4 linked regions of the Drosophila melanogaster genome follow. The protein of the gene in region 4 interacts with the protein of the main gene of each other region in a pairwise test. Each region holds a gene or a part of one and is shown on either strand. Other genes may lie near its edges.

What was found.
Region 1: the proteins of CG13220 (region 4) and CG11379 interact in a two-hybrid assay, tested with the Drosophila melanogaster proteins (one large-scale study listed by BioGRID).
Region 2: the proteins of CG13220 (region 4) and CG13795 interact in a two-hybrid assay, tested with the Drosophila melanogaster proteins (one large-scale study listed by BioGRID).
Region 3: the proteins of CG13220 (region 4) and CG12730 interact in a two-hybrid assay, tested with the Drosophila melanogaster proteins (one large-scale study listed by BioGRID).

Annotation. Positions count from the first base shown.
Region 1 is NC_004354.4:1,178,412-1,182,097, reverse strand, and holds CG11379 (uncharacterized protein), read right to left. Parts: upstream 1,934-3,686; 5' UTR 1,835-1,933; coding exon 1,229-1,834; 3' UTR 547-1,228; downstream 1-546.
Region 2 is NT_033779.5:7,722,544-7,728,049, forward strand, and holds CG13795 (uncharacterized protein), read right to left. Parts: upstream 3,756-5,506; 5' UTR 3,553-3,755; coding exon 3,390-3,552; intron 3,124-3,389; coding exon 2,992-3,123; intron 2,931-2,991; coding exon 2,767-2,930; intron 2,707-2,766; coding exon 2,618-2,706; intron 2,502-2,617; coding exon 2,032-2,501; intron 1,975-2,031; coding exon 1,826-1,974; intron 1,759-1,825; coding exon 1,630-1,758; intron 1,561-1,629; coding exon 1,354-1,560; intron 1,295-1,353; coding exon 1,013-1,294; 3' UTR 502-1,012; downstream 1-501. Other genes in the region: CG13794 (uncharacterized protein), read right to left, coding at 1-102; CG13796 (uncharacterized protein), read right to left, coding at 4,954-5,214, 5,286-5,492.
Region 3 is NC_004354.4:5,514,664-5,519,314, forward strand, and holds CG12730 (uncharacterized protein), read left to right. Parts: upstream 1-1,944; 5' UTR 1,945-2,757; coding exon 2,758-2,835; exon of another isoform or gene 2,836-2,837; intron 2,838-2,908; coding exon 2,909-3,181; intron 3,182-3,380; coding exon 3,381-3,476; 3' UTR 3,477-4,108; downstream 4,109-4,651.
Region 4 is NT_033778.4:11,282,354-11,285,601, forward strand, and holds CG13220 (uncharacterized protein), read left to right. Parts: upstream 1-1,929; 5' UTR 1,930-2,144; coding exon 2,145-2,606; 3' UTR 2,607-2,745; downstream 2,746-3,248. Other genes in the region: CG9062 (uncharacterized protein), read right to left, coding at 1-970, 1,033-1,252, 1,331-1,372.

The sequences.
Region 1 (3,686 bases), on a different chromosome or scaffold from region 4:
ACGTAGCGAATAAGAGAAAAGTTAAGGGATCGTGTTCATGAAAAATATTTGCGATAATATATTTTACTTGTTAACCCAAAGGATATTATAAAATAACATTTTGCTGCTTATACCCGAAGCTGATTTTCAGGACGCGAAGTGCATCCGAAATGGAAAAATTGTATCGTAAGCTGCACTTGTAACTGAACTATATCTGCTATAGCAGCTTAGTTAATTCTGCAACACGAAGGTCAGATATTTTGGAACACCTTTCGATTTTATTATAAGCACAGAAAAAAAAAGTATGCGTATTTCACCTCGCTGAATTTTCTCTGCGATTTGAGTTTGAATGCTGCCTGGGAGCGTGGAAAACACTTGCACTTTTCCTGGCGAGCGACGCGCTTTGATTAACACGGCTGCATTGCCAGCCAGGCTTTTATATCGCTCGACGACCCGACCAATTTCCCGCAATTGGCAACAGGCTGCGGCTGCAGTTTTAACCAGTGCGAAACACGACAGCGCGCCAGCAAGCAACAGCATTTGGCTGGCACTGCCTTGGAAGCATTTCAGCGGCATTGTTGCGTGTGCCAGGCTCTTGCATGTCGCTAGTTGCAAGTTGCAAGTTGCTAGTTGCCAGTTGCTATTTGCTAGTTGCCAGTTGCTGTTTGCCGTCGTGGTGTCCATCGCTTTTGGCTACGCTTCAAGTTCAAGTTTACAGCCATCGATCGCGCATCAGAGTAATGGTTTCGTTTTCGCTTTCGATCGACTTGCTTTGCTTTACTTTGAGCCGCTGGGTTCCGTCTTCCGAATCCGAAACCGAAACCGAATCGGTTGTTTGGGGGCGTGTCGCTTTTGGATCTCGGATCGGTCCTCTTCCGCATTGCATATGGGTACGGCTACGGCTAACGAGTTTACAAGTCTTTTTCGGGGGGATGACAGCCCCCAGTGGTTGGCAGTTTGGCCGGTAGTTGTCCGCTTCAAATTGGCTTCATGGATTCGGTCAGAAAGTGGTCTTGCGATTTAATATATGTTCGATTTTTGAGTTTATTTTTTTCTTAAAGAAGCTAAAAGAAACTACGCTTTGAATCGAAATTTACTATTATGGTTATTCATAATTCAATTTATGATGCAGCCCGTTGTGTCCCACTGTGCCTATTAAAACGCTTTTAGTATAATTTGAACCATAAATTTAGCTATTGACTGAGGTAGTGTGATATGGCTGTGGAAGTGGAATGGTCACCCCTCCGTCTCAATTGGCAAAGCTCTGTGCGCTTCCCTGGGATTGGGTCTGCATTGGAGTGCCGGGCTCGAGACTTCCGAAGATCAGCGCGGAGCAGCGGCGATGAAGGGTGCGACGCCAGTCGAGCATCCCGCAGCGGAGCTTCTGGGGCAACGCGGTGGCCCATAGGGAAAGCCACAGAAGACATGCGCCGATCAGGCCGGTAGTCAGGCCCAAAGTCCAGTACTCGCAGACCAGGAAGGTTTGCTCCTCGACGGCCAAGGCCTGGAGTATGCCCACAATGGCGCACTGGCAGAGGGACTCTATGCGATGCCACAGTTTGCTAAGGGTCAGATCCAGCACCAAACAGCAGACGCCTGTCTCCAGTAAGAGCGATGCCCAGGACGACTCATTGCCGCGAAGGTTTCGATTCCCATTCCTGAACCGCTGATCGGCGGGCAGGGCACTTGAAAACATCCTCACCCCGTGAAGAAGGGTCACCACGCAGGCGGAAAAGAGCCAGGCGCCCAAGAGAGGAGCAGCGGAGCCGGGAGATTCGCGAAAGTAGTAGTAGTACGAGATGCCCAGTACCGAGTGAAGCAACACCGCCATGATCAAGGCCATTAGTCGAGCCATCTCCAGATGTCCTCCTAGGTGTACACTTCCAGTTTTACGGGAGTAAATTCGGGTCAGAAAGCCTTAAACTGAATTATTCAACTGACTTTTAAAGCAGCAGTCACTACTTGGTTAACTCCGAACACTTGTGTACAAGTATTCCTTGTTATTTTAAGAAGTGATACAAAAAGCAAGTTGTAAACTCTGTTAAAGTTTTTAAAGGCAATATTTAATATATTCGATGTTATCTTTTCAATTTATAATTTATATATTATGATTTATACAGCATTCTTGCGTGGCAGAATACCCCATCGGTAATGGCATAGGTTTCCTCTTTGTGTAATCACAGTCACTGTCTGCGTCACAGTTGAAGTCACAGACACCGCGCCAATTGCAATTATCACCACAAGTCAAACAGGCTCAGATGTCAAGGCCTTGTTTTCCTCATTTTCAGTGGGCTCATTACGTGAGGCAAGTGGAAATGGGAAATGTGCTCGATAGTAGTCAGCTTACTTTCATTTTTGTTTCGGCCAAAGCTTTGCGGCTCCAACTTTTGGACTTTAAAGCTTGAGCATGATCATGGAGAAACTCATAGATAAGCTCTTCCAGATCTTTATATGTACAATAATATATATGTACGTCTGGTAAACCAAGATGATTTATAAAATGATTAGGCTGGTTGGCATGGAATAAAATTTCTTGCATGCACTTGCTCCGCACTGTTCTCTGCCGACATGACGTCCCAATCCTGGTGATGCTGCTCCGCTTGCTCTGTCAGCAAGTCATAAATCTTCGGCTTCAACTGAACTTGATACATCAAAATGTTGGTCAAATTAAATTTCTTGCGCCTCGTCCTTTCCCGCACAGCTCGCCCCCGCCCCGCCCGCTGCTCCTTGATTCTCCCAGGGATTTCACTAGGAGCAGCTGCCAAGTAATTCGTCAAGCTGCTTTGTCCTCCTCCAGCGGCTGTTCTTATCTCATCTCTGGGTGAGCATTGTTGCTCCGCTCCTCTGTGCTGTGCTGTGCTGTTCTGTACTGTTCATCTGTCTGACTCCACCACCTACCAATCTACCTACCGACCTACCACCCCCATCCCTGTATCCCTGTATCGCCCCGTTTTGGCTGGCTTTCATGTCAACTGCATTTTTCTTTTGCTGTGTTGCTTGTTGTGTGCTGTGCGCTTTTTCACTGCTTTAAACCACTTAATGGGTTTTTTTTATGTGGACCTGGGTTAGATGGAAAAGCGCAAGGAGTGGGAGGCGGCCTGGCGGTGCCTCGGGGCTATTCATGCTGCAGCTTTCTTGTAGCTTCATTCACAAAGACTTGCAATTCATCAAATCTCGTTAGCCTCGGCTTTTATAGAAAATCTGCAGCTGCTTTTGCTTCTGCTTTTCTTTTCGGGGTTTCGGGGGGCTGTGCTCCTCTCATTCATCTGCCACGCCCACGGACACGGAGTGGGCGTGGCCGAAGCTTCAGCACCGATTCGAATCCCCGTCCGCATCCGCTTTACCATTTCCAAACGGCATCCTATCCTCTGGGATCCTCTGTCATTATTGACTGGCAACGACTTTAAGGCAACTTTTGTTCCGCTCCCATGCGCTTAACTTTAAGGGCTTTACCTTCTCCACCTGAGCTGAGCTCCGATCCATGCTTCTTCCTTTGAGCTAATGAAAAGTGTGTGTCTCCCAAAATGGAGTGGAATCCTTGCAGCTGCAGCTTGCATCATCAGGCTCTCCCAGCGAATAGCTCGTCTAAATAAAAGTAAACCAAAGCTCTGCCAAGGAGCAACAATAAACGAGTTGGCCAATGCATTTTTAATGCAACCAACCACCCAACCACCTGTACAAATCCGTTAGGGAGGAATGGGGATGCT
Region 2 (5,506 bases), on a different chromosome or scaffold from region 4:
AAAGCAGGCAAATATATAGTCGGTGGGCTTATCCCACTTTCCTCTCTTCAAGTCGGGGGAAAAGGGTTTGTGCCCACTATCATACGATGTTTCATATATCATTTTGTGACGTTAGTATAGCCCGGTAAATTGTGTGAGCAAAGGAATTTGAAAAACTTTTGTATAAAAAGAAATATATCCAATTTCACACGCCGATGGAGGTACTTATTATTAAAAGCTTTGGCAAACAACAAACATTTCGCGAGCGTTTTAAATTGACGAACTAATTAGTAGCAGCGATGCGGACGAACTAAATCCGATTCCGCTGATAAACCGCAGTGTAGCTGATTCCACTGGACTGAGATGCTCATAGCCTATCCCGGACCATTCACACTAGATCGGCCATCAAATACACTTTTAAGAAATAATGTTAAGCATAATTTTTTGAATAAATAGTCGGTATTACTTTGTAATACTATGTAATGTGAACAAGTTCAAACAGACAGTAAGAAGATCCCTAATAATTTAATGTAATATGATGTATATTAATTTGGATATGTTAAAACAAACATCTCAATGAAACTAATACCGTTCCTAAAAGTAGTGAGTCACCGAAGTGGCATTCTGAAATTAAAAGGCATTTCTATACACTAACATGACGTCAATAAGAGTACTTTGCTTATAACCATAATTAATCAATAACTACATTAATAATTACACGTTTTTAAAAGCTCTCTCTCTCTCTCGATAGACAAACTATGTAAGCATTATAATTGTGGACGTCACAGATTTTTTAAGCTCAACTTTATTAACTTTTCCGAGATATCTACGTTTCTCTGGACAGTCACACGTGTGAACCTGATCGATTCAGGTGAGATAAACGCTGTAAAACCCATTGCTGTAAGCATAGTGCAATAAGTGTAGCATTTCCACCTTTCACAATATGATTGTATATATATGCATACCTTTTTTTAAATACGCATTAAAATTACTCATATATTTATATTTAGTACATTTCTAAGTGCATCAGTAACTAGTTGACCTCCTCAGTAACCTCGAAGAGTTGGTGGGTCATCTCCGTGTTGTCCACAGCTTCCTCGTACTGCTGGCGGTGCTCCATCTCAACCGGATACCAATCGGTGGGTCGGCAGGTGCGTTTAAAGCGTTCGCAAAAGGTGCCCGTGCTCTGGTAGAGGTAGTAAAATCCATATCCAGGAATGGCCAGAATGGGCAAAACCACGAGGACAATTGACATCACGAAGACCACTGTTGTGGAATAAGAGTGCTCCGATATGGACAGAGCAATTCCCGCGAGCTAGTTAGTTAAAAGAATATGATTATTCAAAGCAACAAGCAACTAACTAACTAACTAACCAGACAAATGACTAAAATTATTGGAGCTATAAAGCGGAGTATGAAAACCTTCCAGGAGGCAAAGGGCTGGCCCAACATGAACTCAATATCTCGCTGGAATCGTTCGCGACCATAGATCCACAAAACCACCAAAAGGAGCAGTAAGTGCAGCAAACTATGTGAGAAAATGGCATCAAGACCCAAGGCCGAAAAGAAAATAATGCCATGCTAGAAACGGAAAATTGTTTAAAATATTTCTTAATAATATATCTTTTTTGTGTAAACTTAAGTACTTACATTGGTGCAAAAGTAAAAGGAGCAGAGTGCAATACCTCCAATTAGCCCAAAGGTCACCTCTTGTTTTCTCACTCTAAGTACTTCGAACTCATCAAACAAACTTTGCAAAACCGTGAAGATTTGCGTCGTCTGAAAATAAAATTATTTAAGTTTAGTAGCGTGAAAAATAAAAATTAATTGTGTAGATTATCATCACCATCACAATTAGAGCAGCAATTAAAAGCATAGAATAGTATATAAAAGTCCATAGGTTTGGCCAAGCCATTGTGGACAAGGCAGAAGCACTTGACAAATATAGCAGCCAATGGCTCAAAACATGTCCGTTATCATCAACATCGGATAGTTCTGAAAGGGATAACTTCAATACAGTAAAGATATTGCAAATCTATAAAGTGCTATTACCATTAAAGTAGTGTTCCAGCATAAAGGAAACCATGCCAAACATGATATAAATGAAGATCTGTCCAAAGGAAATAATCCAACTATACGACATGATGTCAGTCTTGAAACCGTTGAAACTGGACAGAGTTATTACACTGCCCCAACCAGCTCCGAATGCATGAAGAACCATGATGAATGTGGACACTACTCCCATGGCCATGTCACTTGCCTTTGGAGTCACATATCTGTGGAGCCCGTTAAGAGCTCCCGGAAGGAACAGGAATCGCACAAAGCACACTAAAAGAAGAACCAGGGTAACAATCACCATGTAGCGTATAAGTTTTCCAAACTTGGCCGTCTCTGAGAATTTATAAAAAATAAATGCAATCACAACCCAAATGATTGCGAATAGGCCAACAAAATGCCAAGACAACTCGTAATCCTTATACCAATCCGGAACCGCATCCTGTTGCATGCTATCATAGTGATTTCTGTAAACATAGAGTTAAAAAGAAATTATTTTTAAACAATTCTTAAAATAATATTAAAATATTTGCATTGGATTAATTAGGTAATGTTTTATTGCTATATAAATAGGAGCACTTACTGAAAATAGAGCACGGATGGTACATGGAGCAGCTGGTGAGATCTGTTGTATTCCGAAAAGTCCTCCAAGATCAGTGTCTTATTACAAGACTTAAATATAAAAAATGTACTTAGTCTTCAATTCAATTTAGTCATACACAAATTTCATACACTAGATAGCGTTGCACTTCCATTGTGCCAAGAACTCAAGCCCTCACAGCTCCAAGGTAAAGTGGGTCGAAATGAGTTTATTATGAACAGAAGTGGAACCGCAGCAAAAATGCTATAGTAAATTAGCATGGAGATAGTTAAAAATCCACTCACATATCCCATGCCTGAAATTGATATTTCGATCAATATTTAATATCTGTTTAAACTTCTCGGTTACGTACGTACCTTTAAAGAAAGGCGACAGGCGAAAGGCGGAGATGAATCCACTGCTGGAGAACTGACCCATGAAGGAGTGAATGACCATGATGGGAACCAAGTAAATGGACATATATACAAAGTACGGCAGTATTCCAAGAACTGGTCCAAGCAAATAGTGTATTTAAATAAATGCATTCAAAGATAAAGATTAAATTCTGATGTATAAACTGTTATCTCTTGTGCTGTATAAAGAGACACAATTATTACATTAAATACATAAATATCGACAGAATTAGGCATTGTTTTGTATGTATGTCAGATGAGAAGGTAAGAGAACATTAGCAGAGCACCGCCCCTCCACAGATTAGTCTAAATCCGAACCTTATCAGCAATATAATATACGTAGTCGCCCTTGCGTTACTTACTGCCCATGTCGAAGAACATCCAAAACGATGCCACAAAGACATCCAACTTCAAGGCTAATCCAAAGCAGGCGAACATAAAGTCCGTTGGCTTATCCCATTTTCCTCGATTCAGATCGGGGGAAAAGGGTTTATGCCCGGTATCATACGATGTTTCATATACCATGTTGAACTACCCACAATATTACCGCCAAAATGTGGGCGAGAATGGATTTAAGCAAATTTTGTAAATAAGTATATATAACTACGATCTAATTTTACACTCCCGCAGAGGTAATATTAGTATATATATATTTTTTTTCTGCAACCGATCCGCGAGCGTTTTACTCTAAATTGACGGACTAATTAGTAGAACCGATGCCGGCAAACTGAATCCGATTCCGACAGCAGGCCTCTGTTTAGCTCATCCCTCTTGAATGAGATACCCCAACTTAGGCGATGCACACTTGGTCTTTAATCACACAGTTATTACTATGGAAGTGGGGTATCTTTATACCGAGATTCATTTGAAACCTCCCTCTAATTTCAAACAGATCTGTTGTCAAAATAAAGATATGCTAGGAAAATATATATCTAAGCGAGTTATCTATAGTTTCAAGCTTTCGGTTATCAAAATAATTGTAAATTTGTTATTACACGTTTTGTAAGTGTATTTCCGATCTCGACCATAAATTTGCATTTATTGTTATTTTGCTTTAAATTCAGATTATTAGAGCTCTTATATCTGTGCCTGTCTCTCTTATGTGCGCCTATCGTCGTGCATTGCCAAGTTCATTTCGATTTTGGAACTGGAAACTGATATGGTCGTGCTCGGGAAATGGGATGACAAACAAGACAGCCGCAAAGTTATCAAATCTGGGGGAAAACTCAGACAGCAATGCAAAAGCAAGTAAACCCCATAACGCCCTGGCTGTTGATTTCAATAACGCATTGATAATGTCTTAATATTTGTTTTTTCTTATGTTTGTTTGTTATTAGCGATTAGTTTTAGGTAATAATATACAATTACCTCATATATTTTTCAAACTATTATTATTTTGCATGCATTTAAAAACATGCTTCTAACAATCTACTCTAAACGTCATATATTCTATAACTAAAATTCCAAAATTATTATTATTATTAGTGCGACATTAAATAGTTTAAAGTGCTGACAGCCGTATATCATAAATTTAACTCTTTTCCTTATACGTTTACCAACTTCAAAAAAAGACTTCAACATTTTCAATGCCTAAAAGGTAAAATTTTATTAGTTCATAACAATATTTTTGGCCGAAGCTTGTTGAACATTTTAGTAGGAAACTACTAAATATCACCAGTATATTGTTCACTATAGCTAGCTTTTGGAAAATATCAGTACAACTTCATTACAACAACTAACAATCGCCATTGCCAATGGATCCGCTTATTTATATACTAGTGTGCGTGTTTGTTATTGTATTTTTTGCATGTGTGAATGTGACCGCATATGGGTGTATAATAAAAGTGAGTTCAGTTCAGTTCATTTGTCAAGTGACGACGCTGTAAGTATTGAGTTTTGATCTAGGGAGTATTCGATATTTAGGCACTATGTGGTGTTGGCATTGGCATCTATAACCAGCATCTCCGAGATGCCCATGATTTCCTCGTAGAATCGCCGGTTGTCCGCATCCACCGGATGCCAGTCATGTGGTGCGAGGCACTGTTGCAATCGCTGGCGCCAATCGCCATTCGTCCGACATACCTTGTAAACCATATAAGATATGGCCGTTAGGAGAATCAAGCCCTGACTCACATAAATCAGGACATCGTGTATGCGATCACGCGTAAATAAATAGGTTAGTTGAAACTGCAAGAAATTCCAATAATATCAGTCATTAACTATATACAAATAATTTTATAATAATAACCACTACTCACCAGACACAGTCCCAGAAAAATGGGCGTGGCAAAGCGTATAAAGAAAATTTTGAAACTTGAGATCGTTTTGCCTAACATAAACTGCAAGTCGCACTGGAAACGAACGCGTCCATAAACCCAAGTGGTCATCAGCACAAGGATTCCCGAAATAAGCAAGTGTGTAAACACTGCCAAATTTGGCAGCTGAGTCAGCTGACTAAAGCCCAACTGAAATGGATAAT
Region 3 (4,651 bases), on a different chromosome or scaffold from region 4:
AAGGCGCATAAATGTTCTGTTCCCCGGGGGGGAAAAAGCTGGAAAATCCGAGGGGGGAAATGGGGGTGGTTGTCAGCTGGCGGATAAAAAGCGCCCAAAGTCGAAGGGAATATCAGATTCAAATTCACTTGGCAGATATGCTGAGGTCGTTGCTATTTTTGGGGTATTTCGGGATTCGAAATTAGGGGGGGTGGTCTTGGTCTTGTCACGTCAGCTGCAGAGTCTGACAGCCACTGCACGAAATTTGCATTCAAATCGAGCCGTGTATCTGGGCAACTTAGTATCTGTATCTGACAGATACCCAGCTGGCACACTTCTTTGTCGAGGTTGAGAAATGGCTACGGCCCAACTTGCCGCTTTCTTTCGAACTTCCTTCAAAGTGCCTGAAACTAATTATCTGCCTGCTCGCAAACGTTTACTCCAACTTTCGTTTAATTGGTCATAGTTATCGCCAAGTTTGTCATTATTAAAGATGCTTCTGATGCATCTGAAACTGGATTTTTTCAGCCAGAACACTGCTTAATAGCTCACATGTCGCTTTGCCTTTGGTCCTGCTCCACGTTATCCCGTCGCCAAAGCAAACAAAATCTTGCTGATGCAGCAGCTGGCAATTACAGCGAATGCTTTTCTAATTAGATGCACCCACATTTTCCAATTCCCCCCGGCCCCGCCCCCCTCTCTCTCCGCTGCTCTACAACATGGGTGGAAAAGCGATGGAAATTGCCTGAGTGCGTAAGCGAAAAACCAGCCATGTGCATGAATCGTAGGCGAGATATATCACTAAACAATGCACTCTCAGCAACGTGCCACTGAGTATAAGTTGGATATTTAGTTAAAAACTATTTAGATGCTTTTGCTGTTATTCAGTGGTTTAAAGCGCACATTTATAAAGTCCTCTGTGCACTTATCGAATTCAAAGTCCTAAAGAAATCAAAGAAATGTCCATAGGTAATCATAGCTTTTTGCCATTGAGACTCGCACGCCCTCAAGTGTAAATCCGCTCTCCAGTCAATTTTCTTCGCTTTTCCGCCGCACATTTTCCCCGCTTGTCCAGACGATTCGATGCTTATCGATGAGCGCAAATCTCGTGCCTCCCATATTTATGTATATATATATGTTTATACATATATATGCATGAGCTTTTAGAAATCATGTAGACATTAGTTGCCCTGCAGTCGTCTGACTGTTTGTTACCCTCGAAATGGAAACTGCACTTTATCGCTTAAATTGCTCAAGTGCAGTTCATTTATGATTTTCGTGCTCATTTCCGCTTGTTGTGGCCGATTTCCGTCGCATAGATATCTCACTCAGCATTTTCCGCTCTGCATTAGAATATGTGAATCTGTGAAACTGTGAATGTCTCTGAATCTCAGTCAGTCGAGGCGATTGTGCAAGTGACCTTGGCCAGGAGGCGGGGGCCACCCATGCGGCCATTTCGTAAACGAGCCACCTCTCATGAATATGAGTCAATTAATATAACTCAATTTGATGTCGGGCCAGAGTGTTTCGACTGCTACCCTATACAAGTATCTATGCATTTTCAAGAACTTTAACAATTGAATGTGGAAAATAGTACATGAGTAGCGAGAAATCAAAATTAAATGAATGAAAAAATTGTATCTGTAATATCTTTGTAGCTTTGTATCATAAAATTTTTTTCTTTTGTATGGAGTAGTGTGTTCAAAGTTCGTCAAACTTATCTGGCCACCAAATGGTTTGTGTATATTCACGTATTCCGTATGATATGTGCTGGGCAGCTTGTGTTTTGCAATGTGAATCACGACGAAATTGCATTTGATTTTGGGAGGCTCGCATTTGCATTCGCATTCGGATTTGTGCAGCGATTTATCCGTTAAGTAACTAAATCAATTAGCCTGCTGTGCCGATTAAAATAACGAGAAGCGTTTCGGTCATAGCCGATAACAAATACGATTCGAATGGCACAATCTAATGATGCTGGGCATTAAGATACAGATGGAAATTCGAATGCACAGTGGTCCAAAAAGGGCCCAACCTCAAACTGCATGTCACAAGCAATGCCAGTCATAAAAGCTCGGCACTTCACACGACTAAAAAAGCTTTGCTCACCCAGTAACCGGTCACCTTGCCTTATGAATATACATATATTTAATATATCCCTGGAGGTCAGTGAGTCACACCGTGTTAGATTCACCCCTTGACATCCCCCGAACGAAAATTAGTATAATGTAACGAAGAAGCATTCACAATGAACAGACCCCCAAAACTACAGTTAGTAAGACAAGTTAATATGGTTTATTCATTTATTGGAAATTACAGCTTTCTTAAACTAATAATCCTATTTTTTATAAATACCCAGCTAAAGCTAATCTCCTTAATATTTATAGTTTCATTAGATACCATTTGAGTAGATAACACAATTTGTACACAATATGTACTACATTTCCTGATCGTTTCGTCCCACTGTGCCATGTGTTGCTCGCTCTCTGTCTCTCTCTCTCTCTCTCTCTCTCTCTCTCTCTTTCGCCCGCTGCTTCTCTCGCTCTCGCAATTGTAGTTTTATTCGCCGAGTGTAACGATGGGAGAATTCTGAGTATTTGTGTTGTTTGTATTACTTCAGTGGCATTCTGTGCGTGCTGGCGAGCGCAATATGAATTAGTCAGCGGCGCTTCGCTACATTTGCTACATTGGCTTTAATCGCTCGTTTCTGAGGCATCTATTCGGCTGGACAATCTGGATTAACTGCATCCAAAACGTATATATCTTGTATTGGCCGCGATGTCGTTGACGGGAACCCAGGACTACGATCGCAAATACCTGCTCAGCATGCCGGGCCTGTGCAAGCTGGCCTGTTTGGTAATTAGCCTTACACATATGTGCCATTGTGTATCGCCCTTAATGTGTGCGCTTGTATGTGTGCGTCTTTCAGCTGTGCAGCTTTGTTGGAATATTGTGCATCATCTGCGGACCGGTGCGCGTGAGCAATTTCCGCGGCAGTTTCTACCTGGCCGTAGTCACCATCGGATTCGTGGCCACCGGCTGCCTGCTCCTGGCCAGGTATCTCCGGTTGTGGCAGCGCCAGTTCTGCCGATGCGATCCCACGCTCTGGTCCCTGGCGGTGCACTCCTCATTGGCCCTGGCCTACTTCACGGCCTCCGGACTCGTACTCTCCCTGGATATTGGAGCCTATACGGCGGCGGCGGTAAGTGGCGTTCTCGCAGTTAGGATAAGTTCGGAAACCAAAAGTATTACGGCTCATTGTTTCGGCTAATGATTAAGCTAGGAAAGATACTGGTAAACGAAACACTGAGCCTCCAGTTGGAGCCGATTCATTCCCTCGCTGTGATGAACTCTCTGTAGATCCGTCTAATACACCCTATTCTTCACCTTTTTTTTTACAGTTCTTTGGCCTGACAGCATTTTGCATCAACGGACTGGAGGCCTATGGAAACTATCGGCGCAGTCGCCAGCGGGAGGTGGCCACCCAAACGATATAGACTTGGTTTCAGGTGCACGAACCCAGCTTTTGGTGGCTCTTACTACGTTAGGCTTACTCTGTGTGTGTATCTGTGTGAGAGCGAGTATCTGTGTGCGAACGAGTATCTGTGTGAGTGCCAGTGCGTGCGCGTGTGTGTGAGTTTGTTTTGAGAGAGCGAGTATCGCTTGCGTTTGCTTGAAGCATTTAAGTCTGAAGTTTGAAATTGTGGCAAGCTTTTGTCGCGGGAACAGTTACCGTATGTGTTATCTAATAGTCGCTAGATATAGGTCAAGAAGTGAAGAAGATAAAGCCAGTCGATCGCAGCAATAACGTAGATATAATAGCGAACAGAAAGCGAGAGAAAACCACTAACAAGAGAGCAAATTCCAAAGAGATAAGTTGTATTGTGCCTTCTGGCTCTGCTTCTTCCCTTCTTCTGATAACTGGTTAACAATGCGTGAATATATATGTACATATATATACCCGATTTTTTTTTTACTTTTATTAAGTACATAGTATTTGTGTGTCTCAAGTGAATATACATTGAAGTAGTTAGTTTTTAGCACAATGCTTTTCATGACCACTGAATTGTTGTATTTATAAACAAATAAATCGTTTGCAATGGAAGAATAAAACAAAAATACATAAATGTAATTTGTAAATGAAGGGTGTTTTTTAATGATGAGAGTTCATATGCGTAAATTGGGCTTGAATGTCAATTGTTGATCGTGCATATTGTTATTGATTCATTTACGCAAAAGGCCACTTTCCCGAGGCTATTGTTTATTTATTTTACTACACGAACTACTTTTGCGACCATGTTTGCTTGCACAACAAGCTATTTTCACCTAACATTGCCGGATAGAATTTTTGCAACCGGCGCTCCATGAAAAAGATATCGCCAACCTTTGTTTACCTTATCCGCATTGAAACTGAAAATAAACAGGTACACTATGGTGCCCCCCTGTCTGATTTTGCTTCTTGTTTCGTTTTCGTTTTGGTTTCGGTGCTCTGTAAGCTGTTGCCATTGTTGGCTTTTCAAATCTTTTGAACCACCCACAAACGCAACAACCATCATCACCCAACAAGCAGCACCCAACGCCCACAAAAAAGCACTTGGCTCGTCTATTGTTTGTGTTGTTTTTGGGGGCTCCCGCCTCATTATTATTACTTTTGTTGCCAGTTTGATGAAGT
Region 4 (3,248 bases):
CAGTTTGGAATGTAGACCTGCTTATTACGCTTCTTCACCTCCGCTTCGAAATCAACAGCGCCCAATTGCTCTTTTTTGACAACTCTCAGCACATCGTACACCACGACCTGATCTTGTGAGTCCTTGGTTATGATATAACGTTTGTCGTTCAGCACCGCGCACTCCTTGATGGCGGCTCCACCTTTTATGCAGGCCACCTCAGTGCCGCCCTGTGTCCATTGTGCGTCCATTCCGCCCGAGGAATTTAGTGTGCACCTGTCGTACATGGGCAGCTTCCAACAGCGAATGTCCGAGTTCCAGGTGGTGGCCCACACCCCAGTCTTGTCGATGTTGTAGCCCAGACTCAGCACGGGCGCCTGCTCCTCGCACACAAGCGTTTTGTTACTAGGGTTCCGCATCTCGGTCACAATGATGTTGCGATCCCGACTGCCGGAGATGATGTACTGGAAGTTCTCGCTCATCAGCAGCGACCACACGCCCTCCTTGTGCACGTGGATGGTTTGAACACAGCGCTGTTGGCCCAGGTTCCACACCTTGATCGTGCCGTCGGAACTGCCAGACACCACCTGGTTTCCATCGGGCGACACCACCAAGCAGCGCACGTTCTCCGTATGGCCTCGCAGCTTCATTCTGCGCATACAGGTGCGGGGATCCCAGATACGCAGTATATTCTCCGTGGACCCGCTCACAATCACGGTGCCCGATGGATTCATGGCCAAGCTGTAGATTGAGTCCTTGGACCCGGTTAGACTAGAGGTGGTAACCGTGTTATTGCTCGCCGTGAGCGCGGTCAGTGTGTTCACGTCCCACAGGAAGATGGCCTTGTCCAGTCCAGCGCTGGCCACCTGTTCCCGATCCTTGGCGTAGGCCAACGCCTGCACGTAGTCGCGATGGGTCCGCAGGGTGGACATGCAGAAGCCTTTCTGGGCGTTCCACACCTTCACCGTGGTATCACAGCTGGCGCTAATAACTATGAGTGCAAAAGATTGAATGTTTGAATGAATGCCTAAACTGATCGGTGGAGCAACTCACGGTTCCTGCCATTACAGCAAAGTACTATGTCGTTGACCCAGTCGTTGTGGTGCTCCATCGATTGTATGTACTTCTCGCTGGAGTCCGTCCGTGTATTCCACACACGGATTATGGCGTCGCGACCGGCGGAGTACAACTTGCCGTTATTGGCATCCAGCTGCAGAGCGTTTACGCCATTCCGGTGCTGTTTCTCCTCGGCGTCCCGTATCACGAAGGAAACCTGGCGTCCGACGGTTTAATTGAATTAGTTTGGGCTTAGGTGTCCGCTTTCCTTCCCGTTTTCAATTGGCGCACTCACCTGCATTTTCTTACGTGCCTGACAAGTTTTGTGCGTCAACATGTCGTCCACGGATCTGCTGCACTGTGGCTCTCGGCGATATCTCTGGACTGAAGTGCTTCAGGAGCTGGCGTTGGTTGTTCTCTGCTCGCGGGGCGCGCACATTTATCGACGTTGCTTTGGGGCGGCTGATATTTACTTTTTGCAAATTGAAATTGAGGAATTTCCAGGCAACTACAAATTTTTCGCACCTATTTCGCTCTCTGTCTCTCCCCATTCGGTCCTCCCACCTCTCAGGCACTCCTCCACTCATTCTCCTGCGCCGGCTGGTGTTGCCACCTGGTTGTGCACACCGTGCCGGCTGTTCAACAGAGTTGACACTTCTTGTTCAGAAAGGTGACTCGTTCCGGAACCACTAAACTTAAAAATTCGAAAATTTTTAAAAAACCAGCCAAGAAAATAACTATAACATTTGTTTTTAATTGTACATTCAGGAAATATCGGGGCTAATGTTATGCAAATACGCAAAACGCCCACTAACATGAGCGCTCCAAGCGTTAAAGCCCTTGATAACAAGTACTCTCCCTGTCAGATATGTACATTTATATATTAGGATCTCTCAGACATTGACATATTATATTGGTCAAAACATTTACATCTTTATACACATATCTACCTAGAACCAGTGATATACCATCTGCAGAGTGTCCGCGAAGACCGACATAACTTTCACATATATCGCGACCTGGCAGCCCTATTCTTTACATAACAAGAAGAAGAAGACTCGTCGACCTCACCGGGATCCAAAAACTTAATTGCATTTTCACCGATAATAATGGCCGGGACACAGTCAAAAGACGCCTGCAGCATATGCGACAAAGTGGGCCTCAAGCCCTTCACCCGGGATAATGTGTTCAACTACTACATACCGCTGCACGGCCTGGTGAGCTACGGAGCCCTTGCGGTGAATGTTATGAACCCCCAGATCGTGCCCAAAATCCTGCCCAAGAAGGACCTGACGAACGTGTTCCTCATCTCCGCGGTGGTGGGCAGTGCCTTCTACATTTACGGCAGGCCCCACCTGAAGGACGTGAAGAACAACAAGCGAGGTGCGTACGCCCTGCTGGGCGCCACCCTATTCTCCATGGGATCCGTTCTGGCCTGGGCGCTCATCAAGTCCGCCCTGCCACAGGACAATGCACTGCTGGCGACCCTGGCGGGCTTGGGAACTGGCGCCGCCATCGTGAAGGTCGGCACTGATTACATTCAGGACGTGGATAAGCTGCAGAAGAACTAGATGATCTGATCGATACGATATAGGACTGAGGTATTCGAACCCAAAAGTGGGTTCGTACTGTAATTGCTGTCTTGGCCGTACATAGCTCGTAATGCAATATTATCTCCCGCATATTTGAATAAAATTATACTATAAACCCGACTGAGCGGTGTGTTTTGCTGTGTCAAGAGATGGATAATGCCGGGTGTAGATTGAAAATGTTTGCGTTTATTTTAAATTAAATGTACCTTTAATTGCCGTCTCTTAACTGCTAGTAATGCTTAACAATTGAATTGTTTTAATTTATGTTATGTATGTGTGGTATATGCGTTACCTTTATAAATGGTTACTTCGTTTATATAAAAACATCTAATCGGAAACGCCAATATGTACATTCTTGTCGGATTAAAACATTCTACAAATTGCCTTGGCGACTTTGAATTGACGACTACTTTATGGTAAATATATTCTTTTTGTATTGCGAATTATACACTTTAAACTTATTTTTAATTCTTGTATACATACTTTACAAACGCTCAATGGTCGGACTTAACTATCAATAAATCAGTATGTATATATATATATATACCATTATATATACTAAAAAAAATCATTGAAAATCGTTGCAACGGTTGTCTTCAAAAGGAAATGATTTTCGCGCTG